2 linked regions of the Oryzias latipes genome follow. The protein of the gene in region 2 binds, or shares a complex with, the protein of the main gene of each other region. Links are inferred from orthologs where the notes say so. Each region holds a gene or a part of one and is shown on either strand. Other genes may lie near its edges.

Region 1 (5,375 bases), on a different chromosome or scaffold from region 2:
CATAAGCACGTGCGTCTGTGGAAACGTTTGATTTTTTTATCTGGACGTCCTTTTAATGTGACTTTATGTATGAAAAAAAAAAAAACATTTTAAATTAAAAAATATACATTTATTAAAAGTCATAAATGAAAATGTGCTTCACTTAATCATAATATTCATTTGTTAAAACAGGATTGATAGTAATAAATATACATTAAAAAAATGTCTTGCCTCTCATAAAGATTTAATAAATTTACACGCACAAATGTCCAGTTTAAGCAAAATCACAAAGATTCTTTTGTGAAGAAACACTAATCAAGCATCTGAGATGAAGGGGGACATAAAATGTCACATTTACTAAATCATTTGATAACAGTTGTGTTCTTCACTGCACTGTATGTGTTGGAGAAGAACTGTATTGTTTGTCCTGTGGGTGGCGCTATCTTGGGAACCTAACATGTAAAATATCTGTAACTATGAGGCTGTGGTAGAATAAATTAGCTTTATTGTCATTGCACAAGTACAATGACAAATGGTTTTCGATTGCTGTCACCAAGTTAAATAATATGTCCTGTTGACCTAAAGAAATATTAGTTTTACTTGCAATGATGGACGAATCCGAGAATCTTTCTGCTGTGAAGAAAACGGCGTTTCGTCCGCAGAAGGCATCAACCGTTCCAAGACGCCAGTCCAACGCAAAAACGACAGGAGTGCAAAAACCATTTCCCCCTCAGACCAACGCACAACCAAAATACTTTTAGCTTTACTCACTACACGCTTTATCCACAGACTTGAACATTTTCACACTTTTCTCTCTTCTTTAAACTCTCAGAGGTCAAACCTTCATAGAAAAATAAGTCCAGGATTGTAAAATTTGAAGAGCTGCATGCATTCTGTACAGGAGACATGGCGTGGAGGAGGTTGATTGACAGTGGTCTAAAACGTATGTACAAAGTCTGGCCCGTGGGCCAAACGCAGCCCGCATTCAAGTTTCTACCGGCCCGCAGGCTCCTACCATAGAATCAATCATATCTGGCCCCCAGGACTTTGTAAGATTTGCAGTTCTTGGATGTGTTTGGCCAAATTACAGTATTTTCCGGACTATAAGTCGCCCTTTTTTTCATAGTTTGGCAAGGGGTGTGACTTGTACTCCGGAGCGACTTATAGTCCGGAAAATACAGTATGTAATAAGTCGTTGTAAACATGTGGCAACAACCTGTGGTTGCTAGATCTTAAGGGCCAAACAAGAAAAACAGATTTGTTTTTTTCTGCGGTCAAAATGGGATCACTTTTTTGTGTTACTCACTTGTCCACATGCTTTAAATGTAAAAGTTGACCGTGAGCTTCAGTCGATAATGTGTAACTTATCACATGAGCCCAGATTTTACATTGACTTTTTGTTTTCCAGACAGACTTTTTTCTTTATTTTACTTCTGGCTCACAAATTAAAAACTGCATTTTTGGTAAAAATGAATTCAGATCTATTCTGCTCTATGGGAAGAAATGAAAAGTATCCCTTTGTTAAAAAAAACCCCTAAATAGTTCATTTAGATTTCATGTTATACGAGCTCACACAAAACGGGCTGAATGGTCGATCGGCCCTCACACACTAAATTTGACCCTCTTTGCAAAATGTTTGGACACCTTCGGTCTACAGCCAATCAGGATGCAGAACCCACTGCACTGTAAATAAAATATAAAACTAAAACCATGCAAAATTGCACTAAATAATAGCAAAAACGGTGAACCACGGTAGAGTAAGGCAACACTGTAGTTTAATAAAAATTGTCCTCATTAGAGTACTTTCACTCAAGTAGATGTGACGACAAACCAGTATTCTGACTTAGTTGCATTGGTTTTTAATCTGTCTAATTTACTCTTTTTGTTTTAAACTTTTGTATTATTAGTTGTAGCAATACACAATGAAATGTCTGCGCTAATAGCTAAACATTGGCATGAATCATTGTAAAATAATTCGGCTTTAACTGTAAAACCCCAGTGAAGACTTCAATGCAGCAGACTTTCATAGGGTTGGGGTGTGGAGGGATGCTCAGATCCCAGAGGGAAACAGCGGCTGTCATTTTTGTGACATATGACCTTTACAATTTGGTTTAAATGGTGCATTAGTGAACTGTTGTTGCACTCACTGCTTAGCAGTGTGCAGCCAAGAACATCACCAACCAAACAATTGAAGTTAAACGTGGAGTTGATGGCTTTTGTTTGCCTGTAGGACCAGTCTGCAGGGCCGGAACGCCAAGGTGGCCGTGGTTTTAATCCAAAAGAAAACTCCTTTACCTCCAGGTAAGGCCTGGATATCATTTCACAGTGTTTTCTATGGCTTTTAAGGTGAAGCCAAATGTTTATCCTGATTTGTTTTGTGCAGGTGAGGACCTGGTAGCATCAGAGAGAGCACAAGCTCTGTGCACCGCCTGTGATTTGTCCGGCAAGAGCCTCTTCGTTCTGCCGCACACCGACCATTTAGTGGGCTACATTATCAGGTACCTGTCCCAACCGAAAGGGTCTTGGTTTGATAGATAAATGCAGAAACATGACCTGACGCTGCCTTTTGATGATGAAGGTTGGAAAATGCCTTCTATGAGCACGCTCAGACGTACTACTACACAGAGATCCGTCGGGTAAAGTCACACAAGGAGTTCCTCAACAAAACAACGCACCAGGTGTGAACTGTTGACCGAAAAATAATTTCACCTGAACTTCTACCGAAACCAACCGCTTTGTCTGTTCCAGCTCCTGTTTGTCAGGCACCAGTTTAAAATCGCCTTCTTCAGCGAGCTCAAGCAGGACACCCAGAATGCTCTGAAGTGAGTGTGAGCCGAGGGATCTGTGTGGACGTGGAGAACAACAACTGTCACACGCTTTCAGTCACGACATGCAGCCACTGAATCCGTCCATTCACACAGCTGTTTATTCGCTGCTGTTTGTGTCATATAAAGAATCTTTCTACGGCTTAACTCCTTCACATATGTAGTAACATCCACATCTGATCTGGATTCTGGATCATAGGTCACAGAAGTCTGTCTAGCTGTCAGTGAAATTTCTTCTGTCTAATCCAGCTCTTTAACCAGAGAGGTTTTGGGATTAGAACCCAAAACCTACCAGTCCCGGGGCGGACACTCTACCACTAAACCACAATCCTCATAATCTCCTTATTAATGCTTTTCTAAATTACGTTAGTTTCACTGACGGTTCATTTTGTTTCATTTACAGGCTCCGGTTTATTTAAACTAATTGACCCACAACAAATGAAAATGCTGTTTTTGATGTTTTTAACAGGTTCTTGTGGCATTTTTCTCATGATGGAGGACATTTAGAAGGAAAATTCATCTTAAAATAGCTTCTTCTTTTTTTTTTTCCAAATGAAATTTTAGCGAATCAGGAACAGACCAAAAAAATGCAGTTTGGAAGTTTGGTTTGTTGCGTAGAAAATATGCCAGGCGGGCCACAAGCTCAGGAACGGGGAGTGGATGGGGGGCGGGATGGCTCCGAGCCAGTGGTCCCGCCCACAACTCGGTGGCGAATTTCTAATGAACTCCTGCCGCTATGCTGAAAATATATTCTAGAAATCAACAGTTCTTGGCTAAAAATAGCATAATCCTAATTAAAAGACCACTGGAAACGCTTTGAAAATAGATCAGAAGATGATCGGAGTGGAACTTTAAACCAAAGTGAAACCAGACCTCTGATGCTGTTTTTGAGGTTATTCCAACTGTTTTAATTTTTAGTTTAACGTGGTGTCATATGGCAGTAATAAAAAAAAATATATATATATATTTGTTCTGAAGCCAAAGTTGCTCATTTAAAAAGACGGTTCAAGACTGGAAAAGCAGCACTGAGAAGACACAAGGAAGGCGTTTTCATTTCAGGTTCTCATAAAAACCCCAAAACAGTCAAATCTCAAAAATAAAATTCACAGCATAACATAGCTGGGAGTTAATGTTCATCCTCACCAAGTCTTTGCCACTTTGTGATTGACTTCTGTAACTGTTGTGGCTGCAGATACTACAGAACGGCGTACAGTCTGGTTCATGAGCTCAGGGCGCATGAGACCAACATGCTGGAGATCAAAACCATGGCTGGATTCATCAACTATAAGGTAAATCGTCTGCGGGGTTGGCATTGGTTTAAAAGAAAAAGGGCAACTTTAGCCCTATGGGATAAGTGTATCTTTAGGGTTAGGGGTTAAGGGTTAGGGTTAGGGGTTAGTTTCTATGGCGACCACCATCTCCAATCAGGAGTGAGATTGTTGGAAGTCAACACCCCTTCCACTTGAAAGTGGGCAACACCAAATCATTCTAACTCTTCGAATACTGGCCGAAGGGATCAGCAGGCTCCGCCTACTGATTGGCCTGTTTATGATTTGAAAAATTTGAGCTACAGAAAAAAAAATCAAATAAAAAAAAATGGTGATTATCAAGGATAATGTAAAAAAAAATGATCAGAGCAAGAATTGTTATTCTGACCAATAGAATGACGGAGAAATAGCTGTCACAAGATTTTGGCTTCATGGAGCCAGCGGGTACTTCCTGTTTAGAGAACGCCTGGGCCCAGGGGGTCACTCAGTCCAGTTCCCATATACAGTCAGTGATGAAGGCTTCACCAGTCTGACCCCATTTCCTTTCCCCCTCTGTGTTTGTGTTGCAGATCTGCCGCCTGTGTTTCCAGCACAACACTCCTCTGGATGCTATAGCTCAGTTCAGGAAACACATGGACCAGTGCAAGAAGAAGATCGGCTGTGCCGAGCTGGCCTTCGAGCACTCTGCCTGGATGTCCAAACAGTAAGAAGAAAACACTGGCTACACAGTGGGGAAAGTCTGCGCTTTAACTCCACAGTGTTCTTTCAACCACCGCAACTCTTCAACCGTTCATGCAATGAACGCCATTCTGAAGCAGAGGAGAGCACCGATGTTCAACACTTAACACCACCACTGTGTTAGTAATGTGTTGCAGATCAGTGCAAAGCTGACATGAAAAGCCACTTTATTCTTCAGCGTCAGAATCAGCCGATTCACCTTCATCGCATAAACGGTCGAAGAGTTCCAATAGACTGTGTGTTAACCGTGTTAAAGGGTTATTTTGAAGTGATCAAAGTAAAACGGTTGTGCAATTTTTTAGCGGCGGGAATCATTAAATATTAGTGTGCAAGATTTAGTTTCACTTGTTAATTGGATGCATCATTTTGGAGAAAGCATCAGATTACTGTTGAACCAGACGGATGGATGGCATCTTTAATTCAATAGCAGCCAGATGCTAGCATTGAGCAACACTTGCACATAGAAAAAATTGAGTAAAAACACAAGAAAACATTCAAAAATTGAAATTCGATGAGTTTTTCTTATGCTCTGTCGTGGAGTTTTACTGTCAAACAGTATTAGCAA
Region 2 (5,375 bases):
CCCACCCCTGCTCTAAAACAACAAATTTGAATGACTTGATAAAAATCAACTTATTGCCAAGCACTATGTCATAACATCTAGAGTTTTTGTCTGGAAAAGACCTACCTTCCAGATGACGATGATGGTTAGATCCAGCTCATTGCATTTCTTAGCAATGGCTGCAGGATCAGAGGTACAGTTGTCAGGCGTAGAGACAGTTTTGTTTTTGGACCCCATCCTGGATGTCTTCTCTCCTTGCTGAAGCTCAAGGCCTCGACAGCAGCGAAAGAAGAAATCTCTGCAGGGGGTGGAGGAGCTGATGATCTGCATGGAGACAGAGAGGACGGCTAAGACTCCAGCACATGAATCATCTCCTGACCGACTGTAAGCACCATGTGAGCCTCCATTGTGTGCAGTCACTGTCCTGGGGGAGGACCCTGACCTTTGACACCAGCAGAAATGTTTAATTTGTTTCTTTGAGAAACAAGGCAGTCCTGGAAACAACACTACACAAGTCCAAATAAACTGCACACAAGACATAATGCGTGCATGCATGTTTGCGTGCATGCACGCATTTGCATGTGCATTTGGGAAATTCGACTTTAGACTTCAGACATCATAAGCATTGCAAACATGCTCCTCACCATTCAATAGTCAATCTATTAAAAATTAAGGCAAAATGCATCTTTAGCCACAGGGTTGTAGAGGAAGCTGGTGTTACTCTTTACTGATGAATGACTTCCATAAAGCAAAGGTTGTTCTGCAGCAGGTGTGTGCTGGGATTATTCTAAAGTAAAACATGTACCTGTTCATTTCCAAGATTCAGATCTGCAAAGATGTATTTCTCCACAGAGTCCATGGAAGCTGGAAAAACCAGAAGATACTTGTGAGCCTGAAGGCTACCGTACAGCCAGGAGTACACCCTGACGGGTAACAGTGCCTACCTGGGAGGGGGGCACATGGCGTGGCTCTGAAGCAAAGCTTGGCCTTCTCTCTGCTGCTCAGCTTACAGTCTATGGGAGATGAAGAACACATGCTGAGACTGGGAGCCCTGCACTAGGGGATGTAGTGGAGCCATGACAATAAGACTTCCTTTCTACCGGTCCCCACAAATCCACGGATGCAGAAATTAAGATAGAGGTTTGGTGTGAAGCTCAAACTGCTTCGTCTAAAGCTTGACAGGAGGAGCTTCACATGCTGTGGTGTTAGTCTGGTATCCATTACCATACAGAGGAGAGTCAAAAATGATGTGCTGCTAAGTACAATGACATCACACCCCAGTGCTCTCCAGCAGTGATAGTGCACTCACTTAAGACACATGTGCTTGAGCTCTGGATCTCAGGAAGAATGTGGAAAAGGCAGACACCAGATTGGATCCCCATGTATGATTTTCAGTAATGGTGGCTCCATGTAGAGTTAGAAGTGAATCTTCCACATATTTATCAAATACCAACCCCTCTGTGACAAAGGTCAAACGTAGCAGGGTTCAACATTAACCAAAACCTAAGCCGTTCTGAGCATCTATTCATGAAATGAACTGAATCTTCATCATTGCAAAGCCCATTTGCAAAGCGAAGGTTTAGCTAACTTACATTTGCTTCACCTTCAAGTATCTAGATACAAAGCATCGTGGCTCTAAATTAAGATGACACTTTCAATTATTATTAGTGTTTGTTTTTGTAAGAGAATAATCATCAACTGAAACTTTATAAATGAAGGGAAGAACAGTTCTGCTTTCAAATACATCCATTATTTTTACAGAGAAATGTTTGGCTACTAGAAGTCTAATTTGACTAGTAACAAAAGAAGTTAATTTGGAGCCCTGCTTACAATTATAACCAAATCACAACATCTTGGTGCAGGTCGTTCTGGTGACTTTCAGGTGAAAGTGGTATTCTGGAACATTAGAAAGCTGAAATAGTCGTAATGGTCGCTCGCTCTGCAGCTCTCAGGTGTGCTAGCACTCCCCAAAGTTTATAGACTTGCTGGCATAAGGTGTGTGCAGACGCACCATTGTCCTTGTCAGGGTTGATGTACTTGTGAAGGCGCCAGCGCTGACTGCTGCTGGACACCTGGACAATGTGAAACTCCCGCATGCCTCCTTCACTCTGTGAGGAGGCAGAAGAGACAGCACCACAGTATTATTATCGGCAGTATGATCTGATAGCAGTTGCACTCAGATGGATTGGTGGTGGATTGGTGAAACTGAAGGCTCTTAAGGATTTACTGATTGCTTAACTTTCAGCACCCCATTGCTCCCTGGCTGCTCTGCACCATCTTTGGGCCACAGCTATACAGCATTTTCTGTTGTACCAGAGGATCAAGCCCAAAATGTAAGTGGTATTTACATGGTACTTATTGTGTAACTATTGGGTACTTTCAGGGTATTTATATGGGACTTTTTATGGAATTTACTGGGTACCTACATGGTATTTTTTGTGTCTTCTTGGTACTTACATGGTACTTGCAGTGTATTTAAGTGGTACTATTTGGTACATACTTATGTGTTACATACTGGGTATTTATAATATACTTACTGGGTATTTACATGTTGTGCAAAGGTGTCTTTTGTGGTACTTCATATTTTTCATATATTTTGTACTTCATAAAAGTCGTCATCCTTTTTATGTTCATTTGAGCTTGTATTGTGATTTTTCTTGTAGTTACAAACCCTGAAGAAGTCCTGCACTGTTACCAAACTCTGCTGAAGGAATTTCGACAGACAATAAGCACGACCCTCACATTACACCTTACATGTTGCCAGTGTAATATAGACAAAAATACAATAGATATGACAGCAACTATTGCAGAAATGACTTTGAATTTTTGTGAATTTGATGTTCTCATTCACAGCTTATTATGCCTTATGAAAGCCTCCATTTCTTGGAAATTTATCTCTACTCAGTCATCCCATGAGTTGGTTTGTGTGTAATAGCGAAATTGTGTTTTCTTTTTGACATTTCTAGAGTTTCCATAACGTTTGGAGCATATGTGTAATGAAAACGGAGCTAATGACCTGCGTTGAAGAGGTGGAGGCGTGGAAAGAGGTAAGCACTCACAACACGCTCACGATGACTGAGCTATGACTCAAAACAACTCGGACCAATCACTGACAACTGGTTTCAACATTGCGGCGTCCGTATCAGGAAGTATTGGTGAGAGATTTAGCCTCATTTCACAAGAGCTGGAGGTAAGGCAATTTCTATGGGTGACGTCACCCTTCGATTCATCCATTGTTTCTACAGTCTATGCTAGGCCTGGTAGTTAATAACAGGGAAAAAAACAATCAGTGCAGTCTGGGGGGTATTCCAGAGAGCAGGTTATGCTAGCTCCCACGATAAGTTTGAGGCTAAGGAAGTTGATAACCTCAGCTTTCGGTTCCAGAAATGGAGGTATGTTTCAGGGTATGTCAAGTTGCCATAGCAACTCATGCTCTGAACATAACCTGGTCCGGAGCAGGTTTAGTTGAAGGTTAGTTTGTTTACAGAGAGGTGAAGCAGCATGGCGTGTCCATTTGAAGATGATTTAGTGGATGAAGAAGCTCAGATAATACTTTTTCCACCATGAGAGGGTGATAAGACCACATATGGATGTTGGAAAGATAAACTTTTTTACTTTGATCTAACTTAATTATTTGCTTCAGTTAAGATAAATCATTTTTTGTTAGGTCACCTTAAAAATAACACGTAGTTTTCAGACAATTATTTTCCTTTCGTTCAAATTAATTCAATTAAGTAGGTGTAACTTTGATGCTGCTGTTAGATCGGCACCGCAAGGGATTCTGGGATATCATTCCCTTTGCCTGTCTGGACGGATTTGGGTTTAAGTGTGGCTTTTTTACAAAATGTGTTTAGTTGTTTAGCTGTTTTACTGTGTTTCACCGTGTTTTGCCGAGCTATTTTGTCCTACTATGCTTACGTCTCTGCACCATGAGTGAGAGTAAAGGATAGGATGATGAGTTTATATAGCACCCCTACCAACTACAATGATTATTACAGTGAAGGAAAATTCTTTAATGAATTTTTGCACTCCGTGCATTTTTTCCCGTTCTTTTTATTTTTATAAAAATGAGCATATCTGCCGGCTCAAACTTAAAAATATGTGAGTTCAAGAAATATAAGTAATTAAGATGGAAAAAAGATTAATGGAGTAATGTGACATTTAGTTAGATAAATACATAAATTTGAGTTGTATAAACAATTATTGAGTTTGAATAAATTTAACTTAATTATTTAAATTATTTTTCAGCCGTGTCACTTTTTTGATGGACTTATAATCTTTATCCGCCGTCATTAAAAGCTCACACTCCGTCTCACTGAAGTATAGCGCTTTCTTTTTTTCTCTCCACGCGTTTCCATGGCGACTCCAGAAATCGGCGATCTATTGAGAATGTCTTTATGTACCGTGCGTTAACCCAGGGTTACCAAGTCGAGCGTAATTACGCCAACTCATATCCGGTCTTTTGGAACCGACATACCCAGAGTAAGCAAGTTCAGGCGGACTTCAGCCAGAGTTCAGGCTTAAAGTCAGGCTAGTTTAAACATGCTTCCTGGAATACCCCCCTGTAAAGTTAAACTAATTTAATATGTACTAAGAAAAGGATTGTATACAATGATTAGTAATAAAAGTATTTGTCTTAAGATATTTAAAGATTGTATAACTTAATCCATTTTATAATTCTCTATCTATTTGGTCAGCCTTTGTTCTTGTTTTTCCCACCAAATTTGAATAAAGAAACAAAACACTGCCTGGCAGCCAAACAAAGGTCACTCACCGTGTTGACATTCTCCACGTCTACAAAGACCAGCGTTCCGTCACAGCCCATGCTGTCTGCAGACCGTTGCGGTGGAGCGGTGCTGCGACATGCCGAAGCCTGAACGCTCAGAGACCGACTGGCACAGATGAAGACCGTGTGACGCAACACGCGGTGGCTTCCCATGAACAGACAAGAGAACATAACCGTCACGGGTTCGTACGTCTGTCACGTCATGGTTTGTTAGGCACTACCATTCCTTACAGAACTTAATACATTAGAACATGGTGCTGTTTTTTGCTGCTACAGATGAACCTGCTGCTGCTAAATGATCATTTAGAATGGCTAAAGGGGGTTCCACAGCAGCTAAAAGAAGATGTACTACAGTGGTCCACTGCACCTGGCTCAGTTGGATCCAGCTCTAAGCCTGCCTGCCAGCCTCTCCAGCTCCAGCCTTCCCTATGGAGTTTCACACCTTATCAGGAATAAACTCAACTCCATTATCTCTGCCTGTGTCTGCTGCATTTATCCTCCTGCCTCGCCCTGTGCCTCAACACGCTCCTGTACAGAGTGCAACCAAATCTTTGATAGATGTATGACTCTGGGTGAGTTTAAACAAGCGAGAAAAGTGTGAAAATGTTCA

The links.
Region 1: trappc8 (region 2) and trappc11 share a complex: the UniProt entries of both Homo sapiens proteins name them as parts of the multisubunit TRAPP (transport protein particle) complex. The link is inferred for Oryzias latipes from reciprocal best matches to the Homo sapiens genes TRAPPC8 and TRAPPC11.

The regions. Positions count from the first base shown.
Region 1 is NC_019868.2:27,371,803-27,377,177, forward strand, and holds part of trappc11 (trafficking protein particle complex subunit 11), read left to right. Parts: intron 1-2,209; coding exon 2,210-2,280; intron 2,281-2,362; coding exon 2,363-2,477; intron 2,478-2,557; coding exon 2,558-2,657; intron 2,658-2,727; coding exon 2,728-2,801; intron 2,802-3,996; coding exon 3,997-4,093; intron 4,094-4,641; coding exon 4,642-4,775; intron 4,776-5,375. UniProt on the Homo sapiens protein: Involved in endoplasmic reticulum to Golgi apparatus trafficking at a very early stage.
Region 2 is NC_019862.2:1,547,506-1,552,880, reverse strand, and holds part of trappc8 (trafficking protein particle complex subunit 8), read right to left. Parts: intron 4,911-5,375; coding exon 4,754-4,910; intron 2,088-4,753; coding exon 1,991-2,087; intron 993-1,990; coding exon 924-992; intron 844-923; coding exon 785-843; intron 304-784; coding exon 106-303; intron 1-105. UniProt on the Homo sapiens protein: Plays a role in endoplasmic reticulum to Golgi apparatus trafficking at a very early stage. Maintains together with TBC1D14 the cycling pool of ATG9 required for initiation of autophagy. Involved in collagen secretion.